Drosophila melanogaster: one gene and its partners. The protein of the gene in region 2 interacts with the protein of the main gene of each other region in a pairwise test. Each region holds a gene or a part of one and is shown on either strand. Other genes may lie near its edges. The genes, in order: Pih1D1, Hs6st and C15.

The links.
Region 1: the proteins of Hs6st (region 2) and Pih1D1 interact in a two-hybrid assay, tested with the Drosophila melanogaster proteins (one large-scale study listed by BioGRID).
Region 3: the proteins of Hs6st (region 2) and C15 interact in a two-hybrid assay, tested with the Drosophila melanogaster proteins (one large-scale study listed by BioGRID).

What each region holds. Positions count from the first base shown.
Region 1 is NT_033779.5:12,712,117-12,725,231, reverse strand, and holds Pih1D1 (PIH1 domain containing 1), read left to right. Parts: upstream 1-3,388; 5' UTR 3,389-3,510; coding exon 3,511-3,579; intron 3,580-3,669; coding exon 3,670-3,781; intron 3,782-5,991; exon of another isoform or gene 5,992-6,187; intron 6,188-7,175; coding exon 7,176-9,338; intron 9,339-9,702; coding exon 9,703-10,583; intron 10,584-10,685; coding exon 10,686-10,745; 3' UTR 10,746-10,836; downstream 10,837-13,115. Other genes in the region: MRP (Multidrug-Resistance like protein 1), read right to left, coding at 614-760, 889-1,026, 1,162-2,673, 2,748-2,801; CG5787 (uncharacterized protein), read left to right, coding at 12,926-13,115.
Region 2 is NT_033777.3:20,001,731-20,012,208, forward strand, and holds the start of Hs6st (heparan sulfate 6-O-sulfotransferase), read right to left. Parts: upstream 6,783-10,478; 5' UTR 6,431-6,782; intron 4,930-6,430; 5' UTR 4,691-4,929; coding exon 4,505-4,690; intron 1-4,504. Other genes in the region: MED25 (mediator complex subunit 25), read left to right, coding at 7,330-9,921; CG17190 (uncharacterized protein), read right to left, coding at 10,150-10,478.
Region 3 is NT_033777.3:21,495,326-21,505,575, reverse strand, and holds the start of C15 (C15), read right to left. Parts: upstream 5,591-10,250; 5' UTR 5,319-5,590; coding exon 5,146-5,318; intron 3,323-5,145; coding exon 2,907-3,322; intron 1-2,906.

The DNA of each region.
Region 1 (13,115 bases), on a different chromosome or scaffold from region 2:
GGTTTGGTTCGGACAACTTTCAATCCCACACGATTGTGACGATGAGCATACAATTTCGGTATAAATGAGTGTAAGGATTTAATGCAGGGTAGGGGGGAGGATCTTTGGTTAGGGGAATACATTTCGGTGTAAATTCGATTTGGCTAAAAAAGAATTCAAATTAAGTAAATAAACATAAATCACAATCACAAAACGGCACAAAATCGACGATCACAGTGGCGCCGGGGATCGGCAAAAGTTATAAGGAAAGTGGAATCCCTCAGCCACACTGTGATCGACTAGAGTGGTAGTAATTGGTATTGCAATCGGGCGTAACTTACTTGCACCAGGTTGGTGATCAGCATGGGCAACATTGTTAGCGGAAATCGTAGAATGTTGAATAATGATAATGAGACAAAGGTTTTGGTGGCATCAAGCACGTTATTTTCATCAATTAAAACGTAAGTGGCGAATGTAACTAATGAAACCTAAAAGATAATACACAATTTCGTTTAAGGCGTTGATAAAATGTTCGTTCTTGATCCTTGATCTGAAGTTGATGGATATAGGAGAGGCGGAGAGGTGCACCATAGCCGAAGAGGTTGTTAATCCATCGCCATCGCGGGAGCTGTACCTCGGCTATGTCAACACTCAGCATGGGCAGGATGGTCAGCGGGAGTTTCATGAGGTCGAAGAGGGCGATTGAGACTAACACCTTCTCGACGCTCAGCTGATTCGCCTCGCTGGTTAGCACGTAAGTGGCGAACGTGACCAAGGAAACCTTTGTTTGTTCGGACACGAAGTACATATATTTGCCAGATTAGTCCAATGCTACACGTCCAACTCATCTCAGTCAGCTGTAAAGAAATCTCGGAGGACTCAGAGCCCTGCAGGGCTGGCATATCTTACCAGGAACGGTGCACAGGACCACAAGAACGAAGTGCCCGCGTTCAAGTAGGCAGTGGAGCGCAGCGTCGCAATCTCCTTGTCACGGATGTCCAGCACTTGCTTCTCGAAACTCGGTTCCCAGGCGTACAATTTGAGCACCTATGTGGATTATAAAAACGGTTAGCATAGAATCGACATAGCATCGACTTCTGACAGCAGTCAGCATGACAGAGGATAATTGTTATACTTAAGAGATTAGGCTTCTACCTAATCCCTAGTCCTAGTGCCACTCACCTTAATGCCACTCAGTACTTCGTTCATCAACTTAACACGCTCATCTTTGTACTTCATCTGTCTGATCTGATAGGTCTTGATGCGACTGGCAATCACTCCGTTCACAGGGATCAGGATAATCATCACAGCCAAACCGGCCAGCACAGACGGTCCCAGTTGCTGCCAAAGGAAATACAGGGCTAGACCGATCTGCAGTGGCGCCGACCAGATCATGTTTAAGTAGGTTGTCAGTTCCATGAATCGCTGGGCATCCACGGCCATCAGGTTGACGATCTCGCCCACGGTGGACTCCTTTTTGGTGGAGTTCGAAATGCGCAGGGCCTTGCGGTAGATGGCATTGATCAAAGCTGTCCTGATTCGCAGGCCCACAATGAACATTCGGTGGAAATATTGCCCCAGAATAAAGGTCTGTGCAGCGGCCAAAACGAAAAGCAGGACAGCGTATAAGATACCCTTCCATTCGGGCTCGGCATCTTGGGCCTCGACGAAGCTGATGATCAAACTCAGGACTTGGGGCTGGGCAAATGTCAGGGTGTCGGTGAACAGCTTCATTAGGGCGCCGAACAGAAAGACGCCTCCGAAGGACTTGTAAATTGGCGGCATAATACTGGCCATGCCCTTCTTGCGGCCATTCTTCTCACCGTGGGGATTCTCAAAGGTCACGTTGCCATTGCTAAACTGCGCCTTGGGTTCTACGCGCGCCTTGTTCTTGTAGTTCTTGCGCACGTTCTGGTTCCAGTGGTGGGCGAAGATGGGCATGACCTCGGAGCAGCTGTCCTGCGGCCTCAGGTCCCACAGATCCTTCTCCTCCAGCGGGTTGCGATAGCCCTTGAGGGCCATTTTGTCGAACCACTGATAGGTGATGCGGGAAAGGAAACTGGCTGACAGTTCGGGAATCTCGTTCTCACCCCTCTGGTACTTGGTTTGTCTGGGCATTCCGTCCGCGAAGCAGTTCAGGATCAGCATAATGCTGGTGAAGGTGAAGAAGATAAAGAAGCTAACGAACTGATACTCCTCCCAGGAAAAGTCCTGCTCGGATGGCTGTTGCGAATTCAGAATCTTCTGGCGCTCCGCGTCCAGTCGAACTTCAGTGCGGCAGCGGGGAATCGACAGCACAGTGAGCAGGAACCAGAAGATGAACTGACATCCCGTGGTCTGCACGCCATACTTTCGATTCAGCGGGATGAATATGAAGAGCAACAGGAAGGTGGCGAACTTGATGATGGGACCCCAAACATCCAGGTCGTAGAGCGGCAGCTCAGAGTCGCCGCCCTTCTTGACCAGCGCCATAATTAGGTCCAGGGCAGTGATTACCAGCAGACCCAGATTCACCAGAGCTTTGCTCACGTTCAGCTTGTTCCACGGTATATTCCTGTCCAAACTCGCCTTCAGGTAGTAAAAGTCAAAGATCACGAACGCCCAGTAGAAGGCGCAGGGTGTCCAGACCAGCGCCGTTTGCTCAAAGCAGGGCGTAAAGTCCGGATCGTTGGTATACCATGTCTCTGTTGCGTTCTGTTCGTTGGACACACGGAAACCATACATTTACACTATGCATTCGGATTGAACACCACTGCTGATGCACTCACCCAGAACGTGGATCCGCAGAATCTGTCCATCGGCGAACTAGTGTCATCCGCCATGGTTACTCGACTGCTCGGCAACCTCCTCCACGTGCAATTGGGCTATATGCGTATGCTATATCGGGCGATGTGGTAACTGTAAAGCGGCAAGGAAATAAACGGATCTATATTTTCGGGCCAACAGCTGTTCCTTCCCAAGCCGCACAACTACAACAACCGCTAATCGTGACAGTGGGAAGTTGATTGCTAGTATTTTTCTGGTATTTCGCGGGCACAGTGGGTGTCGGATGGAAAATGAGTGTATAATTCTGCACTGCGTGTTATTTTAATTGTTTATATTGATTTAAGTGAAACTTGTAATTTTTGTACATAAATTATTAAAATACATTTGCTTGGAAAACTTAGTAGAAGCAAGTAGAAATCAATTGCATTTGCAACAGCAAAAATACAAATGAATTTCTTAAATTTGGATTAAGCTTTTAAAGTTTCATATAGAAATTCATAGCAATTATTCTCGAAAATTCTTGTCATTTACTTTTTATTAATGAGCACCCTGTACAGGGAAAACGCCTATCTAGTATTTTTAGCCTATCGCATGGCATTAAATGTTTTTCCACCGGCGTTCACACTGTCACATTAGTTTTCATTTCAATCGAGTTGACAGCTCCATTCTGGCAAATAAAATTTGCGTTTTTCGCTCGTCGCTCAGCGCAAAAATAGCATTTGCATTGGATTAACTCGTAACTGGCAATTGAAATCGTGCAGCAAAATGTCGCGTCGTTCCAATTTCATTGAGGGCAACGACAATTTTCGCGACCAGAACCTGCGCTTTGTGCGGGTAAGCAAAACTTGAGAAATTCGATGTGAGGAACTATCTGCGCCACTAAAGATGAACTTGTTTTTTTTTTTTTTCATTTTCTAAATGCAGAACGAGTTTGAGGACAATATTAACCAGTACTTTGGAGGCGCCGATCCGGAGGGCAGCGGCCCGCAGCAGAAACCGCCGCCGCGAGACTCGCTGATTGTCCAGCCGACCGCAGGTAAGTGGCGTCCATTGCAACAGCCGGAGCTTCACATGGCACAGCAATCGCTGCCGGTGGCGCGGAGAATCTAACCGGAGATTACAGCCAGCTAGTAGTAGGCATGACTCTGGGTTTATGGTCTACTTAGCACTTGTGTGTGCACAGTAATCTCTGCGAGCGCGGAACCATGTCAACCTGATAAACATCTCACGTCGACGTCGATTGCGCGTAATCGCTCGGGGTGGTACAGTGAACCCGCGATAAGGCGAACAAACGCACGCGAATGGAACACGTCATAGGACAGAAAAACCCATCCTAACGAATCTTCGACAAGACTTTAAAAACCAATTACGAATATTGAAAACATATCCGAATTACTTGTATTTAAAATTGAATCAATTGCTCTAAATTTTTTAATTAATTCCGTAAGTTAACTATAGTTTGTGCACACTTTTTGTATATTCAAATTTCCAATCTTTTAATGGTTATTAATTAGTATTTTGCACTTAACTATTGGATAATTCGTCAAAACAAAGGCAAAAAATCAATTATCCAAACAAATCAGTTTAATTCCTATGCACACTATTATTTGACAAACTATCTATCGTATTGAAACAAAAAGAGGGTTGAGCGGGTAGTTAGTACGAAGTTTTGTAATCTAGCCGTCGTTATTGTGCGCTACGGCAGTTAAGTGTTTACATGTCCAGGGCCACTTGGAGGAAGGTCTAATCGCGCCCACTTGAAACGATAGTTTATAGTCCAGCGAGATTGTACAATGCCAATGACAAATGAGCGACTAAAACGTGTTTCCCCGCCTCGAAGAAGAACTAATTTACACAGAGATACACACAACTAAAAAGAAGGAATGAGAAACTTTAAGCGAATCTTGAACGGAGCTCATAAAAGGTATTGGGCTAGTCACATTTTATGGGCGCCAAAAACTTGTTTGCCCCGTACACGCATGTGTTTTAAGCCATTTGACTTTAGATAAAATTCTAACACATCTGAAACGAGTATTTTCAGTTCGATATAATTAACGGCGAAACCTGTTCCCGCAGCGATTATATAAGCACAAAACAATCGGCAGAAAAAACCCCCTTACAAAACCTAATATTTCAATTGTACGAAATGTGTGTGTTTTGCCTTTACACCCAAGTGAAATTTCTCTTTAAAAACAAAAACGTCGACTCACGATGAGATGCTAAGCAAAATGGCATGGAGATCTCTTGGCTGCACCATAAAATCAAGGAGAAAACCTGACAATTTTCTCAGCAAAAAACGCCACTCTCTTCACAACCTGACTGACACACACGGTTTGTTTGTTCTGGATCAGATCATGCCAGCCGGCACAAATTGTTTACACCGCCAAAGAAGAGTGATTTATTTACAGAATATCAACGACACTCGACACTTGATGACTTTTATTAATAGGGAAAAAGCTGAGATAAGGCTGACTGGCTGCATTTAGCCAAGTGTGCAAACTCTGGAGAAAACAACTTCCACATAGCGAGAATGATTATACGAGCAGCTCCTTATCGGGGACCCCACAGCTGAACCTTATCGTGTGTGCTGCCTGTTGCTGTCCCCCTACTAGACTCTTCCATTGTGTTTGTCGTTGCTCCAGTTATGAATTGCACATCGTAAACCCTATATTGCTCCTAATCGCACACTTGTTTGCTCCACTTGCTGCTGATTCTGAGTCCTTGGAGCTTGATTACCATCGGACTGGGCGAGAAGCTGTCGAACCCACAGATCGTAGGCCATCTTTCAAGGCCTGTGACGTCAGTGGAACCCACGAGGCAATTAACTTCAAATTTGTTCGTACGAACAGCAGTACGACAACCTTGCGCACCACAATTTTTACACTTTTTCTGTTATCAATTAAATAATCGAGCTGCGAGCATGACAAAACACTTAACCATATCAAACTACTTTGAATGTGAATCATCGATTTCTCGTCAGTTCTTTTTTTTTTTTTTCGTATTTCTTTCGTTTGCTGAGAAATGTTTGCGCGGGATATTCTGGAGCCTTTCGGAAATTTCACAATTTCAGGCAAAGAATGTGGACACACAGAGATAGATACACAACACATAGATACGAACGCACACTGGCACACTTGTTCCGCTTTGGCGGAATCCAACAACCACATATCAACAAGGGTATCAAAAATGGACGGCGGTGGTTGTTGTTGGCGGTATCGATGCGACTGAAATGTCACTTATAATTACCTCTACGTAGAAAAAAACTCGCTGCGATTCAAACGAATCGGTTGTGGGGGATCGGAGTGAATAGAATCGAATCGAAACAAAACGAGCCGTAGCGGTTGAGGTCGGATCGCTATTTGGATTTGGATGGAGGGCAGCGTCGGCGGAGCACTTCAAAATCGACGGACAACCGGCTCGTTACGAGCAAAAAGGCAAACTGAATTCGAAGCGAGCGCTGCGAACAAACTTATTTGTTTTCCGCGCTTTCCGTGCTCAAAAAAAAAACAACAAAAATGAGATAATAGCGCCACCTCGGAGAGCGTTTAACTTGGCTCTTTTTGTGGCGCTGACTGCCTGGTGGCCGCCCGATCAATTAAAACCCCCTGCCATCAAAGCACCCGACTCTCCAATAATGCCAAGTTTGTCCAGAATAAAACCCAGCTGAAAGATACCGACTCTCTTTCCTGATTTTAAGTGCCGATTTAAACATATTTTCCTGCTCTGGTGAAATTATTCTGAACCGAAATGGACACACGACGCGACTCTTAAACGTTTTGTTGTCGCAAGAGCAACAAAAGTGGGCCGAAATGATAACGATATCAACAGTAGTCATACAATTAAGAGCATTTAATGGGTGTTTGGTTGCGAATTCTTCACGATTTTGGTATAAGCATGACCATACCTATTGATTATCAGTTTATTGTGTGTTTGATGCCATAAATGTATAATTACTGAGTAGTTTCTTAACAACTACAACTACAGGATTTGCTGCTATGCATTTCGAAAGTACACACCAATAGAATAGAATTCTGTGATAGAATTTCTAATCTAATCAATTTAGATGTTTAATTTAAAATATGAGATAGTGGCAGTGCTTAGTGTTTATAGATTGACAAAAAATCAAACATCAAACTTAGTCAGCATTTTGATAACGACTGAAAAGGCAATCAAGTAGTAATGCAATTGAAATTATCATTTTTTTTTGTGTTGTACAATTTGTTAAAGCAATTAAAGGGTGGGAAGAAATGCAAAACAAAGCAAATCTATTATAGATTTAAACTAAAATTTGTATGCATATTTTCAGTGAGCATTGTCGTCATGAGTAGATTAGATTGGAATTGGTTTGCTAAACGTGACCACATAGCTCTAACCTAAAACGTGTCTGCTTTTTTAAATTTTAAATTTCATATGTGGTACCATGAAAATAGCCAACAGCGAGCTGGACAATCGGCGCCAATTTCTCCGTGACCTGGGCGCCAGTCGGGTGTTGGCCAACGCCTTGGCGCAGCGCACCTTCAATGTGCCCAAGTTCAACCTGCGCCATTTCCAGCGCCAGAGGTTCCGCCTCAGCGTCGAGCTGGGCGACAGTCACCAGGATGTGGTGGACAAGGAGGTGCTCCAAGCCATCGAGGAAGCGGTGGCTAGCCACGACGACGTCGAGTCGCGGCCACGCACTCCGTCGCCGCCGCGGAACATTGATTGGCACAGCGCCAGGATGAATAACTCACCGGCTAATAAGGATCGATCGCGTTCTAGGAATCGTCAGAGAGAGGAAAATTTCCCAAACAACAATCGCGGAGTTGTGGAACAACGGGAGCCAATCAATAGGAATTGTGGACCCGTAAATCGCAATAATCCTGGCATGAATCCTGCTGAGTTCAATCGCAATCGTTATGCAAATGCGCAGGACTTTAATCGAAATAATCGAAATATGGACAGAAGTGAATTCAATCAAAATAATCGCAATTTCAACCGAAATGAGGGTTCACGTCCCAATCCACAGGATTTCAATCGTCCCAATAGAAATCAAAATCCACAGGATTTCAATCGTCCCAATAGAAACCAAAATCCACAGGATTTCAATCGTTCCAATAGAAATCAAAATCCACAGGATTTCAATCGATCTAATAGAAATCAAAACCCCCAGGATTTCAATCGTCCCAATAGAAATCAAAATCCACAGGATTTCAATCGCAATAATCGTAATGCCTATCCGCATGAATTCAATCGTAATATCCGAAATGATAACGAGCAGGAATTTAATCACAATCGTAATGCAGTCAATGATGAATTCAATCGCAATACTCGTAATGTTAACAACCAAGCATTCCCTCAAGGACATAACCATAACAATCGTAATGCGAATGCACAATTCAATCGCAAAACTTTTGACGAGAACCCAAACTTTAATAACCAACGTTTTCAAGGACCAAATCACCAGATCAACTATCGTGTTCAGATGCCAAACAATGATCATTCCCAAGTAAACAACAATCGCAGGCCTGGTAATCAGAACTTCGTTTCGAATCAGCAACCCAACTTGGATCGTAATGCTATAAGCGATGACGGCATTCAGCTGCCAAGAGATCGATTCCGTTCGCCTGAAGCGCATCCAAAACAACCACCATATCCACGTAATGTGAACGCTGACCAGGTTGGAAACCGTGGACCCCAAAAGAGGCACAATTATCAGCGTATTGTGAATGACAATCAAATAATACTACGTCGCACCGACTGGACTGACGAAGAAGAGGATCTAGATCTAGAACACCATGATATAGACGACTATATACCCGATGAACGCGAATTTCTTGAAGATGATGCCGATTTCATCGATGACACAAATGATACACTTATGAATGATGATCAGTATGAGGGTTACCACTCAAGGGGTAATCAACACTACATCCAAGATCATAACATCGATGATCGTAATTCATATGGACGCAATCGCAACGATCGTAACTTTGAGGGCATTAGGCGCCAGTTTGATCCAGAACTCGATCGACGCAACTTAAACGACAACTTCAATCAGCGAAACAACTATTCGCGTGGCGGTGACACCGTACGCTTTCCCCGAAGGGAGGATGACACATTCCAAGGCTCAAATAACCCTAATTTTCCACCGAACTATCCAAACACTATTCTCCGTGGATCGGGTTCTGGAAATCGTTGCCGCGATACGAGCTCTAACAGACCCATGGGTCCCAATCAAAACAGACGAAGCCGCCTACCAAATGCTGATGAAGCTGCTCCAAGTGTGGCCCATTCTGGGGGTCCCATACAAGATGGAACTAATTTAAATCGTAGAATCAATAAAAATTTAAATCCTGGCAAGGGGCCAGATCGCATCAATGCTGGGACTCCTAATCAACCCAGATCCAAGTCAACCACATCTCAAACTCGAAATCTAAATCCTGATATTCCAAACAAAATGGTCAAGAAGTCGGCGGTTCCACAAGACAATCGTGCACCGCAACCAAACAAACCTATGAACACCAATCCTGGTGCATCCAAACCTGGTCAGTCGGTAATCAAACCGAAACTACAGGCAACCAAGATCAACGCGGCCATGGCGAAACCGCTCGCTGGTAAGGGATAAACTTTTGAATTCTTAATAAATTAAAAATTTGATACAAACCAATTACAAGCTAGCTTATAGAGCTTTTGTATTGGTTTTAAAGTGTATAAATGATTTTAAAGCCACATTTGGAATGCAAACCCGTTAAAAATATATCCCTTTTTTTTCAAATGCCTTAAATTAAGGATCGTACTCTAGCTACAAGAATTTTTGATAAACCAGTTTTGAAACACATTTTCTTGGTTTCAAACCCGATTCGAAGTTATCAACTGCATTTCATACTTCAAGAAGCTAGTCATAAATATGCTTTTGTTTGGTTTGCATTCCGAAATTATCGGGTATACCCAAAAAACAATACATGTTCAATTTTGCAGGGATAAAAAGAAAAGCTGAGACTACTCCAAAGTTAGGGGGGGCTACCAAAGCCGGGCCAAAACGCCAGAGAGCGGATCGAACAGATCGCAGCTTCATTATAGGCGGCATTAGTCTGCCCTATATCAACAGCAATACCAAGAAGCTGCCACAGCCGGAGGAGCAGTCATACGCGGTGACCTTCTTCGAGCAAACGCCCAACTACAACACCAACATATATGCCATCGACGATGGCCATGTTGATGAAGACGAAGGTGATGGGGACGACGAGGAAATGTCCGATGCCGAATCTCTGGACTCGAACCGATCCGGTGTTCTGTCCAAGTGGAAAGGACGCAGTTCGAAGAAGAAGGTGCGCACCCAGTTGCGCAAGGAATGGACAAAAATCTATAGAACCAATAACTACAAGGACTGGCACGCCTGGTGGCGGGATTTCAAGTGGTGCGGCAGCGAGATTAACAAAAAGCTAGAGAAGTTCGGCGATCGCAATCTGCGCCACCGCTTTGCCCCCATCGGCCGGAAACCGATGACCGGAAAGACGATCAATCAGATTTTTAAATCGGGCCACATGGGTCTGGAGAAGAACACCTTTAGCCACTACCGCAATATGCGTTCGATTTTCCTACTGATGAACGAAAAGTTCCTCAACAGTTTGTCTGATGAGCAATTGGAACAGTTGCAGGACTTGATACGTGGCGTTCCAAATCACTTGTGGCTCTACAAGATCCGCAGCATGGTCTACCTTTGGGAAAGGTACCATGGCACTCTTAAAACCCATTCAGCTAATAATTTCAAAAGCGATAAGGAAATTCAATCCATAGCGAGAGAATGGAAAAGTCCTGTCTTTCACTGGTTAGCCAAGCAGGCTTTCGATGAGCTTAAGGTGAGAAAACAACATTTCCCAAAGCTAAAAGTATCTGAAAACCTTAAGGAAACCCAAGTTCTACTATCTTCAACTGACAACGAACCTTATCTTTATTTATAGGCAATCAGCGAGATCGCGTGGCCGGATCATAAAAAAATCTATCCCGGCTTGAAAGCATAATTGAATGCGAAGCATATTGTATAAGATTGTATATGGAATCAAAGCCAAAATAAAACAAAGGGGTTTGCTTTTGCAATGGCCCATACGATTGAATCGCCTCAACTTTCTATTTTTTTTTTTTAGCTGCCAGAAACTTTCCAGATAACAAGCCATTTTAATAATACTCAACTCTTTTCTGTTTCCCCATTAGGAATCTGCGTGAAAAGCTTCAAGACAAACAGTGATGAAAAGTTCTTCATTAACGTGTGCCAGGCAGCGGAAGTTCCAGCACCGCAGGATGTCACCGAGGAGGAACTGATTGGCATACTGGAATCCACTACTCCTGGCTCCTATCGAGTGCCCATGAGCATCTCAGATCCCAGATTCACGAAGGATCGTTCCGATAAGACCGTCGATGTCTGCGACATCGCTATCAACCCAAAGTTTCTGGTAAAGATCCAGAAGTCGCAGCTCTTCAAGAACTTCTTTATGCAAATTGTGATTGAGGCGATGAGCGAAAAGTATAATGTGCAGCTCAACATGGAAAAGACCATTATTCTGAACAATCGCAAGTTCATCGGCACTTTGGTCACTCATCGTGTGCGCAACGAAGATATGAAAAGGGCCCAGTCTACGTCCGGCATTCCTGCTGCTCTTAACAGCCGGGATGGTGGGGCTGTGGCACCGGAAAATTCCGGAAAACTGGTGCAGGAGATCGACGAGAAGGATGCTGCTGCCATAAGGAAGAGTCGACAGTCTGCAGGCGGCGGTTTTCTGGATATACAGTACAAACTTCGTGGTCGAGTTCGTGACGAGTCCGTTGACGAAATCCATGCTGAGATCTACTTGCCCAACTACGTAAGATTATTATGGATGCACAGAGAAAAAGAAGTTTATTTATGTCACCACATCAATCCGCAGGTTTCTTCGCAGGAGTTCAGTCTCCTTGTCGGCGAGGATCGTATCGTGGTGGAAACCCGCAAGTATGGCTATGTGTTCAACAAATTCGTCAACTACCGTCTGCAGCAGGATCGTGCACAAGCTCTGTTCGATAAGACCACCAAGGTGATGCAGTGCACCAAGTTTGGAGGATTCAAATCTTTAATTTCTGTTCTTTCTTCCCATTTTTCAGATGCTTCATGTTCGCATTCCAGTGTTCAGTAACTAAAAAGGCACATAAATGAATAATGCCCGCTGTGATAATGTTAATAAAGGCGCAAATTTTACAATTTATTTTATTCTTGAATTTTATTAGAAACTGAAAAAAAGGGGCTGATTGGATTTTCTATATATTCAAATGATATCATATATTGACTGCGAAAGAAAAAAACATCATATTTTATTAAGTTGTTTATATCTTTTTAAGTTTCAATAAAAAAAATTTTGCTTGTTAATTTTTAAGTTTATATTACTTACACACTGACAAATGTGCTGCGCTTATTTTGTCAAAATACTTATGCCGACTAGTGTAGATTAAAAAGCGGTTTCGAGGCAACAGCTAGCTTATATTTAACTTTCATAGATTTTTGTAATGTTTTTTTTTTTTGTTGGTTTTCCTGGTTTGACTTTCGTGCTCATGTTTTATTCTACATTTTTCAAAAGAATTTGTGATTCAATATTTTCAGGTTGTGTGTTTTCTTTGGTAGTGAAAGTGTAAGTATGTATGTAATATAATATAATACTTAATACAACCAATTCATTAGTAAATATTACTATAAAATATAGCTCTTTAATTAACTACGATAGTAGTGAAAAGAAATTATACAGTAAGCTTCTTCTCTATAAATATCTTGCTAAAGAAATTTTTTGGAAGATGGCTTTCAGAATATTACCGAATCAAAACCGAAATTATACATTTGTCAAATGTTGTTTATAACAAATCACATTTGACATAATGCTTAAAATATAAATAAATAATAATTTATTGCAAGGTATTCCTAACTAATTCAATAGCGGTATTTTTCTATCACGCTCAGTATTTTTCAATAAAAATACCAACTTCGAATCGGACTTATTACCATTTTGAGCAGCCGGCTTTCATTGCTTTGCAACCCTGGCACCAGACAGTGAAAAATTCGGGGAAAGGAAAGCATTTTTTGTGCCGCGTTTGTTGTGTTGGAAAAAATCGCAGAGAAGCCAGTTAATTGGAAGCAGCGGCGAGTGCTCGACGTAAAGGTAAATCCGGGCAAGGACTATTCGGAATGGACTACCGCCAAATGAAGAACGACGCTTACGGCATTGGCCAGCGGCGCGGAATGGGGAGCTCCAGCGGCGTTGGTGGTGGTGGAGGAGGCGGCGGCGGCGGGATGTATTCCTCAAACTACGGCGGAGGCGGTAGCGGCGCCAACTTCGGCGGAGGCGGCAATACCAGTGGCAGAGGAGGCTACGGTG
Region 2 (10,478 bases):
TTATTGATGGTGAGCAATTGGTGGGTAAACATGGCCAAAAAGTGGGCAAACGATTCCAGTTTTCAAATTTAAAAAATTCGATTTTTCCGAACCCAGCTTCTTTGAGCTATAGCATTCCCGTTTAAATGTCGTTGACCGTAAATAATTATTGTGCATTGCCTTATTTAATGTTTTCCTTAACGTTGGCTTATGACTGCTTCAATATTTATGAAAAATACTCAAAAATACCCAAAAACCAAACCATTCCCAAAAGCACCTTACCCAAAAGCACGTACACCAAATTTAAAGCTGCCGAGACAACGAAAACCAAACCTGTTTTTTGACAGAGAAGAAAAAAAGGGAGAATGGCCCGCCAAGCTGGGCTATCAAAAAACTTTTATCAACAAAGAAAAGCTAAACCAGTCAACGGGTTTTATTTCGGCCTTCTGAGGCTGGCTAATTTGTCCAGGGGTTCCGATGCTCCTCCGCCACTGCATCCTTCGATATCTGAGCATCATCTGATTTGCAGGCTGACCACTTTTTTGATCTTTTGCGCACGAATTAGCTTCAAACAGGCGTGAATAATGACAAGCTGATCTTTTGTCTCCCGTTTTTTTTTTTTTTAGGGAATCTGTGCTCTAAAAATTCATTTGCCCCAGTCCGAGGGAGAGATGCCACATTAAAGTGCCGCCTGACTTCCTAACGCCTCTCCCTCCCCCTCCCGTATTTTACCCATCGACAACCGGCTTTATGACATGTGCGGTCTGAGTTATGAGCGGCTCTTGATTTTTTGCGGCATGTGTGGAGCTTGAATTTCTTTATGCCCCCCTCCCTGCCACAACCGCACATATATTTCAGATGGCTGATAGTTTAATTGGCCTGGACTTTATGTGCTGTGCGGTTTTTGTTTGCCCTCGTCTTGGCTGTTTTTGTGCCTCTCTTTTTTTTTGCTTTTCTCCAGTGGCTTCTGGTCTTTGAGTGAAGCGTAATGAAGACGTCACATGGCAGGCATATTAATGCTAATTGATTGTGCCAAAGTTCCTGAAATAGTTAAGGCGGCTCTGAAACTTATCTTGATCGTGCAGCCAAAACAATTAAGGGGAATATCTTGTAATCATAAGAAGAGAAGAGAAGAACCCACACAACATGTCACACCGTTTGAAACAATAAATTGCTAAGCCTGGGGTATTAAATCACCTACTAAATCATTAGCACACGATCACAGAGATCACAAAGAGCTAAAGGTAATTGAGACATTTAAGGCACAGCAGGGCCTCCGTTTCACCAGAAAGATTTAAATCCCCTAGGCGATTTATAATCTTGTGACAAATCTGATAAAGTGCCCTACCAAAAAAATTCTCAATAAAAATGTAGAAATCCCACACTCAATTAAATTGATTAACGCTGCCATAAAACGACGACAATGAAATGAAGCGGACAAACAAATCTTTGCTAATAAAACGCGTAAGCAAAAACCAAAATGTATTCACGGAGTAAACTTTTTATGGCCCGAAAGCCGATGCCAAAGTTTGGCACGATCTAGCTGGTAACGACAAGTGTTGTGCAGTTTTAATAGAGACATAAAAACAGTGATATAAATACACGAATTTCATATGCTGTTCATTCCCCTGTAATTTGGTAAGTAAACTAAGCCCAAAAAAAAAGGGGGACAAAACATATACATAAATGCGGAAAATGCGCCGTAAAAACCTAAAACAAAACATTTTCATTGTGGTTGAGGTGCGGGTATAAATTTCGGAAAACATTTCGGCCAAACAAAACAGAAAAAGTCATAAATAGTTTTCATTTCATTAGCTGCGCTTTGTGAATTGCACCAAAATCCAGACAACCACTGCAGCAATTATGAAAACTGAATATGCAAGCGTATCGAAATAATAAACATCGCCTTTTGTTTATTCAATCAGATAAAGCAAAGAGTCCAAGTGAAGTGCATAAACAAATACACACCACCTGTAATTGAACTTTGGACCTTATTTGAAATGTGCGTAAACAATTGCAGATCGGACGTCACAGCAATCACGAAATTCTCCAGCCGCAATTTATTTAAAACTCAAACATACTCAAACAACTTGAACGCGGTATTTAATTAATGGCTTTTTATCAAGACTGAATAAATATTCAGTGATTTAAAATTTGCATAAATTGAAATAAATAAAACCAAATTAGAAAAAAATATAGCATTTCAACGAGGCAGAGCATTAAATATTCCGAGCAAGAGTCAACGATGTTGTTTATGTTCAACTGGCAGATAGTGTTTACACATTTGTGGCTACTTTAGAAATGGAACAAACACTGCGAAGATAACTGTCAAATAAAGTTTCCTCTTTTACTGACCAATATTGTATGCCACAGGCTGTAAATTAAAGCTGAAATTTAAAAATGTGTCAGAAACAAAGCAATGTAACTATTCAAGTACTTATTAACCTGTCAATGATTGTTTCTTTTAGCAGTTTTAATAAATAGACTTCAATTACATTTTTTGCTATTAAGTTAAAACCTTTTTACTTTGTTTTAAGAACTCATAAACAATAATTTTTTTAGATTTAATATAGTAAAATGCACCTATTGTATATACCGAAAAAACGGAGCTGTTTGAAAACAAACCCGCCAAAGCAATCAATTCTGTTTTCCTTTCAATACCAAATTAAATGCGATTCAGTTTATCGAACAGTAGCAATTTATATTTTTTATTATCTGCCTGTCATATTATTAAATCATTTTTTCCTCGCAAGTAATGTAACATTACTGGCTTAATGATCTGAAAGAGGACTGTTACTGCTACTTAAGTTCAGCAAAGAAGGACAATTAAAAATAGCTTGTAATTTATCAGGCCAAGTAGCAAGAGTTAAAGTATTCCGGGAACAAAGTACTCCCATTGCGACCGAGTAATTTATATTCAACTTGGCCCATTAAGGTTACAAATCTGAAAGAATCACCGAAATGGGCCGCCCTCGCATCCCAAATAATAGAATAATCTGTCTGTTTTCCATTGGACACGCAACCTCATGAGCCCAATTTTCATGTTTGCCTTTCGCCACACTAATACAAGCACTAAGCATATTTTTCGTTTATGGCGCGTACAACTAATTAAGCTATTTTTAAAGACGGCGAATTTTCCAACGTACGCATCGGCAGGGGGCGTGGCCACGCCCTGCTCGTCACTATGTCTGGCCAGATCGCGTGCGGAAAACAGGGAAAACCAGAGGGCGAGGCAGCTGCGCTCAATTAATGTCATTTTGGCTAGCTATTTCAATTTGGAAAATAGTTTAATGCTCACTGCAGACAGACCCGCCGATAGCAAAAAGCGAAAAGCACGAAAATATATAGAATAAACATTTATATACATATATCTGTATCATAAACACAGCCATTTGACATTGAACTCTTGCTAAAAGTCACGCCCACTTGACTTCTTTTTCGGTTCTTGGAGCATCAACGAATTTGTTTCTTGTTTAATTAAAGACCGCCAGAACGAAATTGAAACATTTTTCAACAGCCACACATATGATAGAACTCATCGAGGCGTATGTATTTATGTATGTACATATATTAAATTTTTGTTTCGCCTGCAATTGGCAATTGATGACCTTCTTCAAACAATTTCATCGTGGCTTTTTTTAGACGTGACTGGCACGAGCTGGATTAATAGTTAAATATATCCAAAGTACGCAAGTATATGAACACCGCGAGGCAGCAAAAATTGAAGGAATAGCGACTGGTGCGGGTTTATGTGTCCCCAGGGTAGAATTTTATGTGCTGTTTTGCCTCGGTTCGGTTTTTATGGCCCACGAATGCACTTTACACCTCGGCCATTAAATCATTCATTAGATGCGCGGGGGGAAGCCTTATTAGTCCAACAGATAAGACAAATTTCAATCAACCACGCCGAAGATTTATGGGCGATATTATGAGTAGTGACCCAAATATACCAACCAGAAATCCATAGTTGTTTGTAAACTTTATGCTACAGATTAGACTAATTTCAATACGGGGCACGCGTGTCAAAGATTTATGAATAATAACACAGAAGCACAATCGCCTGCAAGCGAAATCTTATTATGTTACACATTTTCCATTTTTGGAGGAATTTCATTAGCACCTTTGCGTTTGCGTAAACAATTTCCGAGTTTTAAAGGCGCCAACCGAAAGGCTGTAAACAAAACATTTTGTTTTGTCTAATTAAAGCTCCCAAAAAATTGATAAACATCGAGAAAGAGTTCTATATTATAAAAGCTGTCTTTAGCGCCGAAGGGAAAAACACTCCAACGCATATTTTTATACGAATATTTTAAATAATAAATTTATTAATGCGCCATAGCAAAACAAGTTTCGTGCGATCCAAAAATGTATGAATGGTAATTCCAATAAAAGCACACATGTACGGCAAATATTAATGAATAAATTCAGCATTTCGCCAATTGGTGTGCTAATTTGCATTGGAGCCAAGTAACAGAAAATTATAAATTATAAGCAATGGGAATTAATGAGGGGATTTGGCACTTACCTGATCTTGACAAAAGTATCCAAATCCGATGATGCCGGCGATGGCCAGGAAGAGGCAAAACACAATGATTGTTCGGATTTTGGAGCGCGGTTCCATTTTCTTGATTTCATAAACACCACTGGGCAGCAATAAGGCAAAATCACTATCGACTTGAACAGATACGTTCTTATGCATATCCCCGGGCATGTTCCATTCCCTGGCCTCCCTCGAAAATCGCACTAAAGGTCCAACAAGGGTCCACCCGAGTGGAGTCCAAGCGGGTATCCGTATCGGCCTAGCGCAACGAGAACCAGACGCGAATCGGAGGCGAGGCCAACTCAATCATACTTCAGTCGCTGCCCGATAAGAACTCGAAAAATGGGAACACCTTCGCCCATTGCACTTGGCGCGGAAATGGGTTTTCCTTGTCTCTCGGCTTTCAGTGCCTGCAAATGGAGTAAGAGTGAAAAACGGTTAGAAACCTATTAGTTTTGGGAGCACTACAAAAGCAACACCGTTTCCGATTAGTTACCACTTGACCATGCCGATAAAGCGGTCTGTCAAATTGTCTAGCCCTTATCTAGCCACTTACTTAGTAGCTGAAAGCTCTTCAGGGGAAAATCAAAAATAGTTTTTAAGAACCTAAATCTATGGCAGACTGATAAGAAGTTCACAATTAAAACGTACATACATAGTTAATTGGACTTTCTATTTTTTTGTTAGGGTCAAAAACTGATAAGCAGGCGGTGAAGTTGATTTATCGTTTAATCTGACCCTATTTTAATTGCAAATCTATTAGTAAGTATTCAAGACGGGCGTGAATAACAAACGTTTGTGCAATAACAAATTTATCTTTATTTGTGTGGGAAATCTTAAATTAAATTTCCACGCGCGAATGCGATCTGCAAATGTATAGCGTAACGATAAAATACATAAATCAACCAATAATGACGCAATAGTGGAAAGTGAATGGCGGAGCCGAAAGCAATGCATTTAGTATACCCTTAATCAATTAAAAATACGTTTAAATACGTTTATTATTTAAAGCAAAAAACCTACATCCGTACATGATAATACGTGCAATTACTCAAATAATAACTTATTATAGTTAAAAAATAGTTTGTACTTATTTCATTTAATATTTAAATTATCTAGTGATTCTTTATTTATAAGAACATATTGTAGTTCAGTTATAAAAATAGTTATCAATAATATGGTAAATATAATGAATGAACAGCCTTTGTTGTATGGGTGATTATTATCACAAGTCGCTTTATCTGGCTTCGATATTGTTTATATGTGATAAACCCGATTGGAAAATGCGTAACATATTAGGGTTTGAATGATATTGACTACATGCGAGTAAGTTGCATTTAGGTAGGGTATTTAAATGTACAAACACCCAACTAAAATAACTGGCGATCGGCAGTCGGAGTGACGCCCAAGCATAACTGGTGCCTTATATTTATGTAGGCGCTTTTTACTTCACGATCGGTGCTTCTGTAGCGATCACAATTATTGTAAACAAATGGAAAAGTTGCTTATTGGCAAATTGGACTAACAGAGAGACAAGAAAAAAAAGGCAGATGTGGCGAAACATGTTGCCAGGCAACAATAACAAAAAAGCATGCATGCTGTGCACACATGGCCGTTTAATTCACTTCTCTGTACTCTAAACTATACTTAAACCATGCTAATTGCCTACCCAAATTATCAGGTTTTTCGAGGCAGTGACGTCAGGGCAAGGAGTATAATTATAATAATAGAATCAAACGATTTAGCAACATTGCAGTAAAAAAAAACAGAAGCAAAGGGGAGCAACAAAAACAGAGAGAGGGCAAAATAAGAGAGAGGACAACCAGACAGAGCGAGATGCCAAACAACAGCTGTTCTTCTTGCCAGATGCGAAATGGGCAATTTAATGAAATTTATCTAGATTTCACTCACTTTTCACTTGCCAAACGTCGTGTTTGTGCACTTTTCACAATTGTCGCGGCGTCACACGTTTATTTATTTACATTTCTCTGCGTTTCAGGCGCTCGCACGCTCAATTAGCGCGCTTTCCGCTTTGTGCCACACATTCTGTGCCAGCCACAAAAAAGCCCGCAATTCGCACTTTCATGTGTTTTCGGCTATTTCTGCGATCGTTTTTCCTGCACTTGCACTGCTCAATAGCTAATGTTTAGTTAATTGACACTTTCTAAGCGTTTTGCGTATATTTTTTACGAATTATTTTGGCAAAACGACGCGGTACCAGCGTCAACGTCCGCATTCTTCAAAATCGGCGAATGAACTGAACAAAACGAACTGCGCAAGTTGGGCAATAGGAACAGCTGACCGCGCTGCCAGACTGCCGAACGGAAACTCGCTGCGAGAGTCTGGCAGCACTTGCAACCATCGATATAAACTATTGGTAACGAATATTTAAAGAATTAACTTTATAGTTCCATTGAAAATACATACATAAAACAACTATAATTATGATACCTAACATAAAACATCGTAATATCTTATTTATAGTTATCTTTTGTATGCAATATTCAATTTTAAGTTAATTAGATAAACACCAAACGTTTTTTTATTTGTGAAAATAGAAAAAGAATTCAATAGAAACAAGTTTTCAAGGCAATCTGCATATTCTTAAATCCAACTTTATGGGCACTTTTGAATATTCATTTATTTTGCAGCCCTAGCAATCGCTGAGCGATAACCATAAGTTGACTATCGATAGCAGCAGAGCGATATGCAAAACAAACGAAAAAAGTAAAAGAGCGGTGTAAAGCAGACAACATAGTTTACATTTTTTGCAACAAGTTTTTCAACTTAAAGCCAACTCCCATCGTCCAATGGAGGTGGACCAGATTCCCCTGGCCGACGTGGTCTTCGTCATCGAGGGCAGCGCCATCAACGGAGCCTACATCAACGAACTAAAGACCAACTACATCCTGCCGACTTTGGAGCACTTCACCACTGGCTCCATCGACGAGCGGGAATACCTGATTGCGGAGCGCTTTGCCACTCTGTACGGTATTGTGGTCTACCGTACAGCGGCCAATCTGCTGGAGCCAGTTTGTTCAACCTATGGTCCCTTTCTGCAGCCCCAAAAAGTGATGGAGACGATCGAAAGATTGCCACTAGTGGGAGGCGGAATGGAGTCCTGTGCCCACATGGCCGAAGGATTTGCTGCGGCCCACGGCTGTTTTGATGACATCAGCGAAAGGCGCCAGTTGCTCGATCAGACCAGCGTCCAGAGGCACTGCATTCTCATCTGCAACAGTCCGCCGTACCAGATGCCCACAACGGAGTCGTGGAAGTATCCGGGCAAATCATGTGAGCAGCTGGCGGCGCTCTTCAACGAGCGCAAAATCAATCTCTCCATTATTGCGCCACGCAAGATGCCGGTGTTGTTCAAACTTTTCATGAAGGCCGACGGAGATCAGCCCATTACGAGCAAAAACTATGCCAAGAACATAAGACACCTAGTGCTTCTAAAGGGATACAGCCTCAAGGAGAGAGCACCTAGTCCCAACAGCATGGCGGCCCAAATGGCTGCACCCAATGCGGCACAGGCTACAGTGCAGCAGCAACAACAACAGCAACAAAATCAAGCTGGTCAGCAACAACAAGGGCAGGGCATGCCCATGGACACCACTCCAGCCCAGCAGCAGCAACAGCAACAACAACAGCAGCAGCAACAGCAACAACAAGGCAATCCTCAGCAGCAGGTCATGAACATGAACACGATGCAGCAACAGCAGCCCGGTCCAAATCCCCCAGCGGGCTTACTCAATCCACAGCAGCAGCAGCAACTATTGCAGCAGCAGCAGCAGAATCAATTCGTTTCCAATCAAATGCAGAATCAGAACTTCCAGCAAAACGTGGGACCCGGCCAAAACCGCTGGATGTATCCCAACCAGCCTGGTCAGGCGCGTCCGCCCTTCATGCAGGGAGCAGGCAATGTGGGCGGTGTGGGCCAAGGCGGCGGCATGCAACAGAATCCAAATTCTGCTCTGATATCGCGCATTAATGCGCCGCCGCCGAACCAAACTGTGACCTCGCTGCAGCAGCAGCAACAGCAGCAGGCGCAGCAGCAGCAGCAGCAGCAACAACAGGCCCAACAGCAGCAGCAACAAAGGATGCAGATGCTGAGCCAGCAGCAGATGCTAAATCACCAGCAGTTGCAGCAGCAACAGCAACTGGCCCAGCAACAGCAACAGCAGCAGCAAGGACAGCAACAGCAGCAGGTAAATCCCAATGCAGGAAACAATATGATGCCGGCTAGCAATGCCGGCAACATGTCTAATCCGCAGCAGCAGCAACAACAAGTAGGACAACAGTCGAATCCGCAGCAGCAGGGCAATCCGCAGCAGCAACAGCAGGGAAATTCGCAGCAGGAGCAGGCCTCCTTGAGGGAAAAGATATGGACCGGAGTGCTGGAGTGGTCAGAGAAGCCAAAGTCCGATCAACAGAAGATTCCCCATACACTCCAGTGTACCGTGTGCACCAACATCAAAGATGGCGAGCCCGAGATCAAGGCTGAGAACTGGCCGCCCAAGCTGTTGATGCAGCTAATGCCCAAGCACCTAGTTGGCAATATTGGTGGGCAGTTTCTCAAGGACTCGAAAATGGTTGTTTTTCGACCCACTCCAGGAGAGGCACTCGATTCGCTGGCCAAGATGATGACCTCCGGCTATGCTGGCTGCGTCCACTTCTCCTCCATCCCCAACTCACCAGCCTGTGACCTTAAGGTTCTCATCCTACTCTACACGCCCGATCGCAACGCTTTTCTGGGCTTCATTCCCAATAATCAGGCAATGTTTGTGGAACGTCTGCGCAAAGTCATACAGCAAAAGCAGCACGGCAACATGCAACAGCAGCAGCAACAGCAGCAAATGATGCAGCAGCAAGGCAAGTCGCCCATGGAGCTGCAGCAGCAACAGCAACAACAACAACAGCAGCAACAGATGCAACAGGATAACTCGCAGCAGCAACACTACAACCAGTTCCAACTCAATATGCAGATGGGTGGTGGAGGTCCTGGCGGCGGACCTGGTCCCGGTCCCGGCGGCATGCCCATGCAACAGAATCAAATGCAGATGAACATGATGCAGCAACAGCGAATGCCACTGGGCGTAGGTGTTGGCGTGGGTGTTGGTCCCGGTGGCGTGCCCAATCCAAACCTCCAGCAGCAGTTGCAACAAGTGGCGCCAAACGTCGCCGCAATGCAGCAGCAGCAGGCGCAACAGCAGCAGCAGCGCATGGTGCGTCCCATGATGAGCAACAACAACCCGGGGCTGCGCCAGCTCTTGCAGCACCAGACCACGCCAGGCAATCAGTTCCGGCCGCAAATGGGTGGCCAGAATCCCAATCAAATGGGAGCAGGCGGTCCAATGGTCGGCAATCGCAACTTTGACGACGGAAACTATGAGTTCATGTAGGCTACTTAAGAGTATCGTATAAAAAACCAGAATTAAGACAGTAAAATATTTTATAAAATCCAACTGCAAGTCTTTTTTGGGGTAGTGGCAAAATCTATTTCCCAAAATCGAAATATTAATTTCTCCATTTTCATAACATTTCGTTTATTTAATTAGTAAGAATCAAGGGAAATCCGAATTTGCACAAGACTTATATTAATCACAGAACATAATCTCCGAGAAAGTCCACTAGTTTGCTCCACCGCCGCCGCCCCCCGAGGATGCGGAACTTGCACTTCCAGCGCTAGCGGCAAACACCTTGCGAAGATTCTGCAAGATGCTGAACAGAACCGTTCCCGCGCTGCCCAACGTTTCCAGAACATCGAATCCGGTGCTGTCGATGGCTGTCTCCCGATCCTCCTCCGTTTCGATGGCCGGGGAGCTGATGTTCCCGCCATTGTGGTGAGTTTCGTGGACGCCATGGTGTCCAATCAGCCGATGAGTATTGCTCTTCACATGGGAGTCGTTCACGCCGCCACCGCCAACTGTGTTTATCAGGTGCTTCACCGGCTCCAGGA
Region 3 (10,250 bases), 1.5 Mb from region 2:
ACACGCGCAACTCGTTAACTGGAGCGTAAATGTTCAATGATTTGCAGCGTAAGTCGGATTTTCCCAATCCCTTGGAATACTTTCTAAAGTATGAAAACCTTTTCAATGTGCATATAACTTTTCGTTTTAAACCCGACCAGCTCCCATTGAAACTGAGTTGTGTTTATGGGTGTCCAAGTTGGCGTAGGAAAATGGCGTTGGGCTGTCAAAAGCCATCAAATGCCGGCGAACGAATGGCGGGTGTTAAGCTGACAAATCATGCATCTTATTGCGACTTTTCTCGGTAACCCTTTTTTCGGGCTTTTCCCGCCCAGGGGATAAACTTTCGAGGCTGGGTGCATAAATTTTTCAAAGGTTTTCGGGTCGGAGGTCTTGTGGCTTGCCGATCATTTGAATATTTCAGGCAATATCAATTTCAATAAAAAGCCATTTATCGCACCACATAAGCAGCAGCCTCGGGATTTTCCCCTCTGCCGCAGCTCAGATGTGTGTATCCTTCAAGGATGTAACATATCCGCTTAGAGGGAGGTTAAGGCGCATAAGCATAATTTTATAGCTTTCCGGCACTCCACCGTGCTCCACCGAGCTTATTTATGATGTTTCGCACAAGCTAACACAAGTATCTTTAAGATACAGATGGCGGTGAGTGTGTGGCTGCGGCCGAGAAGTCTCACCAGAAATACCTAAAATAATGCAAAAAGCTTTTAGCATGCATTATTGATGACGGCCTGTGGCTGGGACTGGTTTCCTCCCACTCCGCTATTTTGGTCTCTTTTCAAAAGTGCTGCACTCTGACCTTTGCTAGTGATTTGGATTAGTTATATACTAGTTACCTCAAGACTAGCACGTAACCAATCAAAGCGCATGCAAATGGGAACTGTTAAATGGCAAATTAGTATACAGTCTCACGGAGTTTACATCATTTTTTAATATTAAATACTAAATTACTAAAGGAGCTCCCTAGTAAAGGGAATTTCTATACACTAGCCTATAGATCCTACTCCGCCATTGATTGGTAACATTCGTGTGGGCAAGTGTCGTGACAAAAGCCCAACTCCCTTCCAATCAGGCTATTATGGCTGTTATGAAACTGCATTAGGGCGTGCATGGCCGAAAAGTAATTGGCGCCTGCTGCGACGTAGTTTCCCAAAAAATAACGAGAATTAACATGCGATGGTTATTAATCATATGGCGCTAAGGGCCCCGGCGGAAGAGAGAGGAGCACTTTGGTCGCGGGAAGGGATCGGATCGGATCGGATCGGATCCGCACCCTGGACGCTCGTTTGTCTTGTTAATGAAAAAAGCCAAGGCGCCAGCTTATCAGCCACAAGGCAAGCGACACAATAAACACAAAAAGACACAGACGTTGGCCGAGACCAAGACCAAGACGAAAACGAAGATGTTGACAAAACGAAACCGAGCGGCAGAAGCTTGGATCACCCGGCGGGCTCATAAGTGTGCCCCTCAGGTGGAATAGTCGACTCGAAGTGACTGATCCGATCCCATTCCATTCTATACGATCCACTCGATCGAATGCCCCTCCTCGGCGGATATACACACAAGTATGGATATGGATATGCAGCCCTCGGATCGCCAGCATTCGACTGGCTAATTAAAAGCTGACCATGTCAGTTGGACTCAAATGTGAAGTGCGGTATGCGGCGATAAATAAGCCGGCGAGGACAGAAAACTCACTCGCTGAGCCCAGCGACCGCCCAATGCGTAATTAATTCCTTTTCGAGCGCAGCGCGAAATTAAAAAGTCATGTAAACCAGCTCATTAAAATAACTAAAATGAAGAAAAAGGCCAAACAGCTAACCAGAACCACTGGGCGGATGTCGGCCATAAAAGCCCGTCAGATTGCCGGGCTGCGCTGCTCCTAAGCAGCTTTTCCACATCACAAGGCCGAAAAAGGCCCGAATATTATGAGTTATAGGATCCGAACCCTATCGGGATCCCCCTTCCACACCATTGAAGATCCCTCGGCTGCCGAGGCGTAATAAAATCAACGCCGTCTCATTATTTCAAAGGGCTCGCGCTGTGCCCATCGCTTGTAGCTACAAGTGAAGCTCATAATGTAAACAAATTAACAAAAAGGGAGCCAGAAGACCCAGCTGCACGTGAAGTTGCAGATTCAGATGGAATACAGATACAGATTCGGATACGGATTCAGAGGACCAGCGACAGATACAGATACAAATTCAACTGCGCATGCGCATGCAAATAAGAAGGCGCATCTCATTCCTGAGTCGCTTCTGGGCGGCGGCTCAGCGTTAAGTTTTTAACTTAAGCTGCGATTGCGCATTTGAAGGCAAACATGTTTTTATACTTTAGCATCCCAAGCTCACCAGAGTGAGTGTACACTGAGCGAAAATTCGTATTATGAGACCTGTGTTCTAGCCTTAAGCTGTTTCTTACCCACAGAAAATACCATCTAATAGACCATCGTAATTATATTATAAGGAAATATGTAAGTAAGCCCTTTTAGACCATTAGACAACGTTCTTCGCACCTTATTTTCAACAATGAATATACAAAAATATGTTTTATCAAGAAGTTTAAAATTATGTTCCTACACCCTATTGCACAATTGAATGCATCCAACTACGCGTTATGTAGGCACATATATAACATTTTTATTCTTAATGTTACCAATTCTTTTATTTCAAATGCCACATTTTCTCTTGGTGCACGAATGTGTTGGCCAACAATGACATGCCGATAGGCATGTTGCCTTAAAAGTCTTCTCTGATCGTGCTTATTTGGGGAACAGTAGCAATTGCCACCGCGGGTCATTGGAGGATCGCTCCCCCGAAAGATCTCGGCGAACATGGGCCATCCCGACATGGGGGCCCCGAATGGGTTGGATTTGGCAAACCCTCTTGACTTCGCTGCTATTCACTCACCTGCCAACCGATCCTTGACCGCCTGATGTGCCAGCGCCGCGTGATGCAGTGGCGGTAGTGCCCAGGTGAGCGGCGTTCTCTGGGGCGGTACACGTAGCACATGACCGCCGGCCGCTGAGGGATAGAGATGCGGATACGAGTATAGTGCTGCGGCGCTTCCGTATGTCGAGTTGGCGATGCTGGTGGCCAGCTTATAGGCCAGGTCGTGGTCCTCCTGCTGCAGTAGCTCCTTCTCCTCGCCCTTTTCGCCGCTGTTGTTGTTGTTGCTGCTGGAGCCCGGACTGCTGCTGAGCAGGTGGTTGTTGTTGTTGTGGTGGTGGTGACTCGTCTCGAAGGGCTTGGATAGCAGGCGTGATATGCTGAAGGGCAGATTCTCACTGGACGAGGAGCGCGTCTGCTCCGACTGCAGGGACTCGCTGGGAATAAAAACCGGAGAAAAGACATCAGAATCGAAGGGAAAGAAGCCCTCTGGAGGTGCGGGCTCATTAAAATGTGTCGCCCGATAAGCGGGAAAGCCTGAGAACATTGACTATAATTAAGTCTGTTGCAGTGCGTACCAGTCTCGGAACCACTAACCAAAAGCCCACGCGAGCGGATAAGCCGAGTTGACGACATGACATGCAGAACCCGTGTGGCCACCGCTGCGTATACGCAATGCGGCTGGAAATGAAGTAATTATGCAAATGCTGACGGCCGTTAGAGGCATTTAATACGCGCCCATAAATCATCAAATGCCATCAACTGACGCACCGAAAACAAGTCACGCACGGCATTTAATTTATAAATCCAAAAAGTAAAAACCCATTTGGAACAGGAATGGAATTGTATCGGAACAATGATCTCAAATCGCCAACCACCGACACACAGACACTTTCCAATATCAAAAGTTATGAGCAAACACATATTATTTCACTGGCCAAAACTTGCTGCTATCTGGTGATCTACATTCGCTGGAACGCGGGTTTTATGGCATTTTTATGACGATCTCTATTAAAATGTTAATCCGACAAACGATTTCGTCTTTGTCCGGCATTCAAGCCGAAGATCCAACTCCAGATTGAGCCCCAAATGGACCCCAATGTCTTATCACAGCCCGTTTTTGGCGCCTTACTAATGTGCGTTTTATCGTCGTCGTCTATTGGAAACCCTGGCCATCCGTGAACTATGTAAATTCAGGGAGTTTCTTTGGCACTTTATGGGACATTTCGACTTGATTCTTTTGGTGGCTTTGTGGTCAATTCATTAGCGTTTAAGAGGTTTGTTCACACTGTTCTTCTAAGCGCACAAACGCTTGAATGGGATCAGTTAACACGGTCTGCTGGATGCTCTGGCATCTTGTTATCCCCTTTTGTCGCTGGAAAATGGGACCATTTGTAAGAGCGGACAATGGGGCTTAAACATCAACGCATTTCAATGGCGTTGAGCCACGATTCGAAAAATAGGATTTGTGAGCATTATGAGTGACAATGTTAAAGATCGTAAAACAGTGGGAGTTATGAGCTCGTAATAACAAATGCAAATAGCTTTTCTCCGCCACAATACTTGTTTGACTTTTATAGGGCAATAAAATAAGACTGTATGCCAACTATTATAACTATAGCTTATAGATCTTTTTCTCTCAGTTAGTCGATCAAATTGCTGTCGATCTAAATTTTGACTTATGAGTAATTAACGAATAATGTGGCCAACTAAATCAAGCCCAGTACTTACAAAAAAATATTTATTAATTTGCATGATGATCATAACCATCAAGAGTAAACGAAAAACTGAGCTTTTTCTTTAATATATTTTTTTTGGGGATTTTCCGTAATGAATTGTTTCAGACCAATTATTATGTTTGTACATCGTATAATTTGAAAGTAAAGCCATTATTATTATTAATAGAGATGCAATCTCTTTTCAAGTTTAGTGTAGCAGATTATTTACGATACAATTAAACCAAAAATATTTTTTATTGTTCGATTTTGCAACGTACATAAATTCAGACGTTATTCATATTTGAAAAATATTTACCAAAATGAATTTTAAAAAAAAAGGCCTCTTCAGTTTTAAGTAAGTAGTACGGAAGCCAAAGCATTTTATCACAATCTAGTTAAAAAAATAATATATGTATGTATATGTAGAAGTCTTATTGTAATTGGAAGATCTGCTTATTTATGGTATATCTATACTGATAATATCTATATTTTTGGGACATTTTTCCTACTTCCTGGTTCTATTTAAAAGCTCTCCTTCTCACCTCAATGGCGTTTCGGACTCGTCGTAGCAGCTGCCGCCGTCCATATCCACATCGGATCCGCTGCCACATGACATCCGCGAGTCCGAGTCCACATCCACGTGGATCTCCTGTTCCTCCACCTCTTCGCCGTGCTCGTTCTCGTGCTCATGGTCATCCTCCTCGTGGCTGGACATTTTGGCAATTAGTGGCGCCAATTTGGAGCTCGCTCACTGCACTTTTCGAATCTTATTGGGCACTCTTTTCTCTTAATAGTTAGATGTAGAGTGTTTCAACCGCGAAGCACACACTAATCGTCCGATTGATTTCAATTCAGTTTCCGCGCTTAAGCACTACCCGTTGCGGGAAATTCCAACTGAGAACTGCTTTGGATTCACGGATTACGGTCTACGGATTAAAGTTTACGGATTACGGATGGCGAATTGCGAGCTGGGAGCGGACGCGTGCTAGCGGGCGAAAACGCTTTTCATAAATGCAATCAAATTGTGCCGACGGCCGCTGCTCTGCCTGCCCTCTGCCGACTTGGCTGCCTCTGCCGATTGCTGGTGGGTTTGGGCTGTTGGAGTGAGCCGGAAACAAGTCAAACCAGTTGCCCGACGTCGACGCCGCTGCCGACTTCCTTCCTATTTCGGTTAAGAGCCAGTTTGCCACCTTGTTTGAACCTAACCTACCATAATACCAGCAACCTGCCTCTTCTGGTTGGTCCACCCTTGAGCCATCCATCCCGCTCTGATCGCACATGCGCCTGACTGCCTCTCGCTCGTGGAAACAGGTTTCGCTCTGCCCGCCGATGGGCAGCACTGGTCGGTAATTGAGCCACGGGGCGTGGCCTCGGCCAACCGCCATTGGCCGCTGGCCGGAGTTTGCCCCACACACTTGCCACTCTCGACGTCCACTTCCCGCTGGCAGTTGCGACGACATTTTAAATGGAAAACGTTTTGCTTTTGGGGTTTTTTATTAGACGAGAGCATGAAGAGAATGTATTTTTATTTCGATTGTTTCTATTTTCAGGTTAGCCAAGCGTTACCACTCTGCCTCGCTCTGTCTCACTCGCTCGCCCGCAAATCACCCCTGCAGAGCGAGTCAGCCAACTGACGAGCGAAAGAGATCACATCCGCCCGCCGACTCTTTTCCGCGGAAGTGCAAATGTGGCAGATTAATAGCACAATTGGAAATAGCGTTCTGTCAGCTTGAGTTCACAAAGCAGCGGATTTGGCCAGGAGGGCTGCCCTGCACCACCGCCTAATGTCACCCCTCACCACCTCACACCGCTTACTACTGAGATCTTTATTAGCGCCAAGAGTTCTACGCGCTATCGCCTGGCATTTGGCAGGCGGCGATTGCGATAAGCAGACTCGAGCTGAAGCCACAGGAATCCAATCCATTTGCCCCGGCCATGCGAATGCAAATTGCGCGGCATGCAGTGGATGCAGCAGCTCTGGCATTTTCCACAAGTTCACCCCACGGGTTAATTGACAGTTTTTCTTGGGCACGAGCCATGTTACTGCTCATCGCTGGCCGGGATCTCGGTCCTAGTCTTAGTCTCAGTTTCAGGTGTTGTTCTAGCCGGCCTGGATGGAATGCGTGTGTGTGGCCAGAAGCGATTGCGTACTCCGTTTTCATTAGCTGAGATAGCTGAGTCGAGATGTGGAATGTGAACCCCTTCAGAATAAGGCAATGTTATGAAAATCCCAAATCCTATTTGCGATAACTTGGATAATGCATTACTACGCTTAGGAGATTCGCTACTGGTCAGAGGATAATTATATCTATATTTCATAATAAAGGGTTACTATATCTCTACTTGCACAGTTTGGTTACTCTTAAACATGATTTGCTTTAAGGTCTTATATTGTACCTCACAAATACTATTCTGTGATTTAAAAGAGTGCCAATGTATGTACATATTGATCACTGGTTTTAAGCTGCATATGCAGCTTTTTGTTCAATGTTAAATTATGTTAGTTAATTATATCTACATATCTTTACCTATCTTTATAATATCATTATTCATAATTTGATTATTATTCAATTTTTCTTGAGAGTGGGCTGCAGAATCAAACCGTTCACTTTGCATTTAAACGGAGTCCGATCCTAGAAGTAACGACTATAAATATTCATTTCTGCACTTAACTGGCCATGTTTCTGTGTCAGACACGAGCAAAAAATCATGGCCAAAAATGAAGAAAGGCAATTACTGCATATTCAATTGGCAAGGCACACAAAAGCACACGCACACCACTTGGCAGTGGAAAGGACTCTGGAAAAAGTCACGAGGCGAACTCCATTTCTCTTCGTACCGCCTCGCAATGTCATTGTTGCTGTTTTGCTGCTGCTGCTGGCAGTCGTTGGTTGGTAGGCCTTGTAGTCGGCTAATTGGATTTCATTTGGGCAGAAACAACGCAGAAACAATTGCCGTAATAAAAGCAACAAAGATAGCAACAACAGCGCCCCATCCACGGCAATTGTAATGCAATTTTAATGCAAAACGAGAGGCGGCCAACATTTTTATTGCATTTTTACTTTTATTTCACTTAATAGCAGGCAACAACAATAACTGCAGCGGCAGCAACGACGAGGAATTGGTGCTTGGTATGAATACGAAATGATGAGGCTCAGACCACCACATCGCATTCATGCAGGGGCAGGAGGAGATGGCTAAGAGGCTGGTGGTGGTGGTTCCGATTCCAAGATGAGAACGAGATGACGGTGGGCGATGGGCGGTGGCAGGGCTGTGGAAAATTAGTATGCAGCGTCGCACTGCAGTCGGGTGGCAGACAAAACAGCAACAACCAGAACAAACTTAGCCTAAGTGTATCTACACAATCACTGGGAGAATAGGTTGTGTCTTTCAGATTATTGGTGAAATTCAATTAACTTTAAATCAGTTAACTGCTTGTCGACTTTCTGTGAAAATCCTTATATTTAGTTGTAGGATATTTTTTTAGTACCCACCTAAAGGATCACCGATTTGGCGTACCCGCTTGGTCTAAAACCTTGGAGCTCCAATCTCATAGCTTTATAGGGTAAGGATACAGGATAAAACCAACCTCTGGAATCTAATTGTTATCTTTACAGTACTTTTGGAGTTTTAACTTCTCAGAGCTGAATATTCCTAATAATCAATGTCTGAAAAAATATAATTTTATAATTGTTACCGAAGGTAAAACCAAATTAGTTGGAATAAATGCCCGAACTTCTTTCAGTGTATGCACTGTAACTGGTGCAGCCACAGCTTCAGTCGTTGCCACTTGACTTTATTGGCAACTTCATGGAATATTCAGCAGCAAAGTTTGGCGCAAGTGCCTCCGAATAATACCGCCCCAGGAGTCGCTCCAACCGCTCCTGCCGTTCGAAATCCTGGCAGTGCTGCCAACCTCATTTGGTATGCATTTTTATTTGGCTCATATACAAATGGCGGAGCACGGCGCGACTTTGGTTCGCCGTTGGGGTTGGGGGATGTGATCCAGATTGGTGTGACAGCGGGGCTTGTGGGGGTTGCCGAGCTCTGCAGACCAAGTGTCACTTAAAATGCCAATACTGATTATAGCCATCTCTTGCGCTCCCTCTCTGACTTCAGGCATCTGTCTCACTTTCTCTCAGGATGGCGCAGCAAGGATTTTATGTGCGGTCAGGGCTGGGCTATTATTGGTGACAGTTTTACCTTTATGCGAATCTAAAATGCAAACATACCCGGGAATACTTTGTATGAATACCAAAGACATCGCCATATACGGGTAGAGATGGTCCACTAGCTAATGAATAAGGAGGGAATATAGACTAATACCTTTCCTTCCCTAACTCCTAAAAAACATATCTAGTTTCAAGCTTTAAGGTTTTTTAAATCGCATCTCAAATAGCTATCCATACTTTGTCAGTACCTCACTAAATACTACCTTGCCATCACTGCTATCGGTATCTCGATATGTGGGTTGGTTCATTCGGTGATTTCCCTCAACGCAAGGAAGGGTGCTATCCTTGGTGAAATCGAACTTAAGTTCCTTTCCAGAGCAAGGCCGTCGTGATTGTTTTTTGAAACTCGATCCGTCTGTCCACACTTGACTTCGATTAGGCCAGGCTGCCCAAAATGGCTTGAATGCGTGTGTTTTTGTTTTAGCCAATTGGCCACACAATTTGCCAACCAATAAATTAACGCATCAATAATTGATCAGACTTGAGGCCTGAAGTAGGTGTAGTAGTGTGTGTGCGGGGAAAATATTTTGCCAATTTCAAGGCGAACGGGGAGAAGTGAACGGCGCCCCACGTCTCTGGTAATTTGGCTCAAACGATTGCCTAAAAGCGTCTAAAATCAGCAACTGTGGTTTCTTTCTTTGTTCTTGGGGCTGTTGGAGTGTTGTTAGAGACATTTCTGAAAATGATTTGAAAGCAAATCCTATGTTGAACGTAACGAATGCCCTGGATTCATGTAGTCAAATAGAAAGAAACCTTTCTGATCCTGTTAAGCACAGTGAGTTTTGATTAGGATCACTAGAAGATTCGATCTATATACGTAAAGATCTCAATAACTAAAAGAACTAGAAGGTTGATATTAAGCATGTAGATTCCAGAGAATGCCCTTAGTGATACCGATTGCCATAAATTTAAAAACTGTCTCTTTCAAAGTAATATGGTCAAGAAACCTAACTTCAGCATACTTGGTCAACTTACTTTCACGAGTCTAAAAATTTTTATAATTATTCATCCAACAGTCTTATCAAAAACATGCCCTTAAATAGTAAAATATTAAACGAGGCAAAGTGATACTTGAAATTTGTATAACCTTTTTATTTTTAATCAGTCCACATATATAAGAAACCGCTTTGTCAGTGAGATCACGAGGGCAGCTCAATTAAACATGGTCCTAAATGTAAAATGTTTGTTTCGTAAATTTCCCAAAGAGAAACGGTGTGAGGATTCCAAAGCCCCTTTTATTTCGCTATAACCATAAGGGTGCTTCTAATTAATTTCGCACCCACTCCAATCACCTTGATTTTCACGAAGAGCTACTGATTTTATGCACCGCACTCTGGCACTTACATATGTATGTAAGCTGATGTAACCATATAGAAATACATGAGCTCATGTTTGTTGCATGTATATGGGCATTT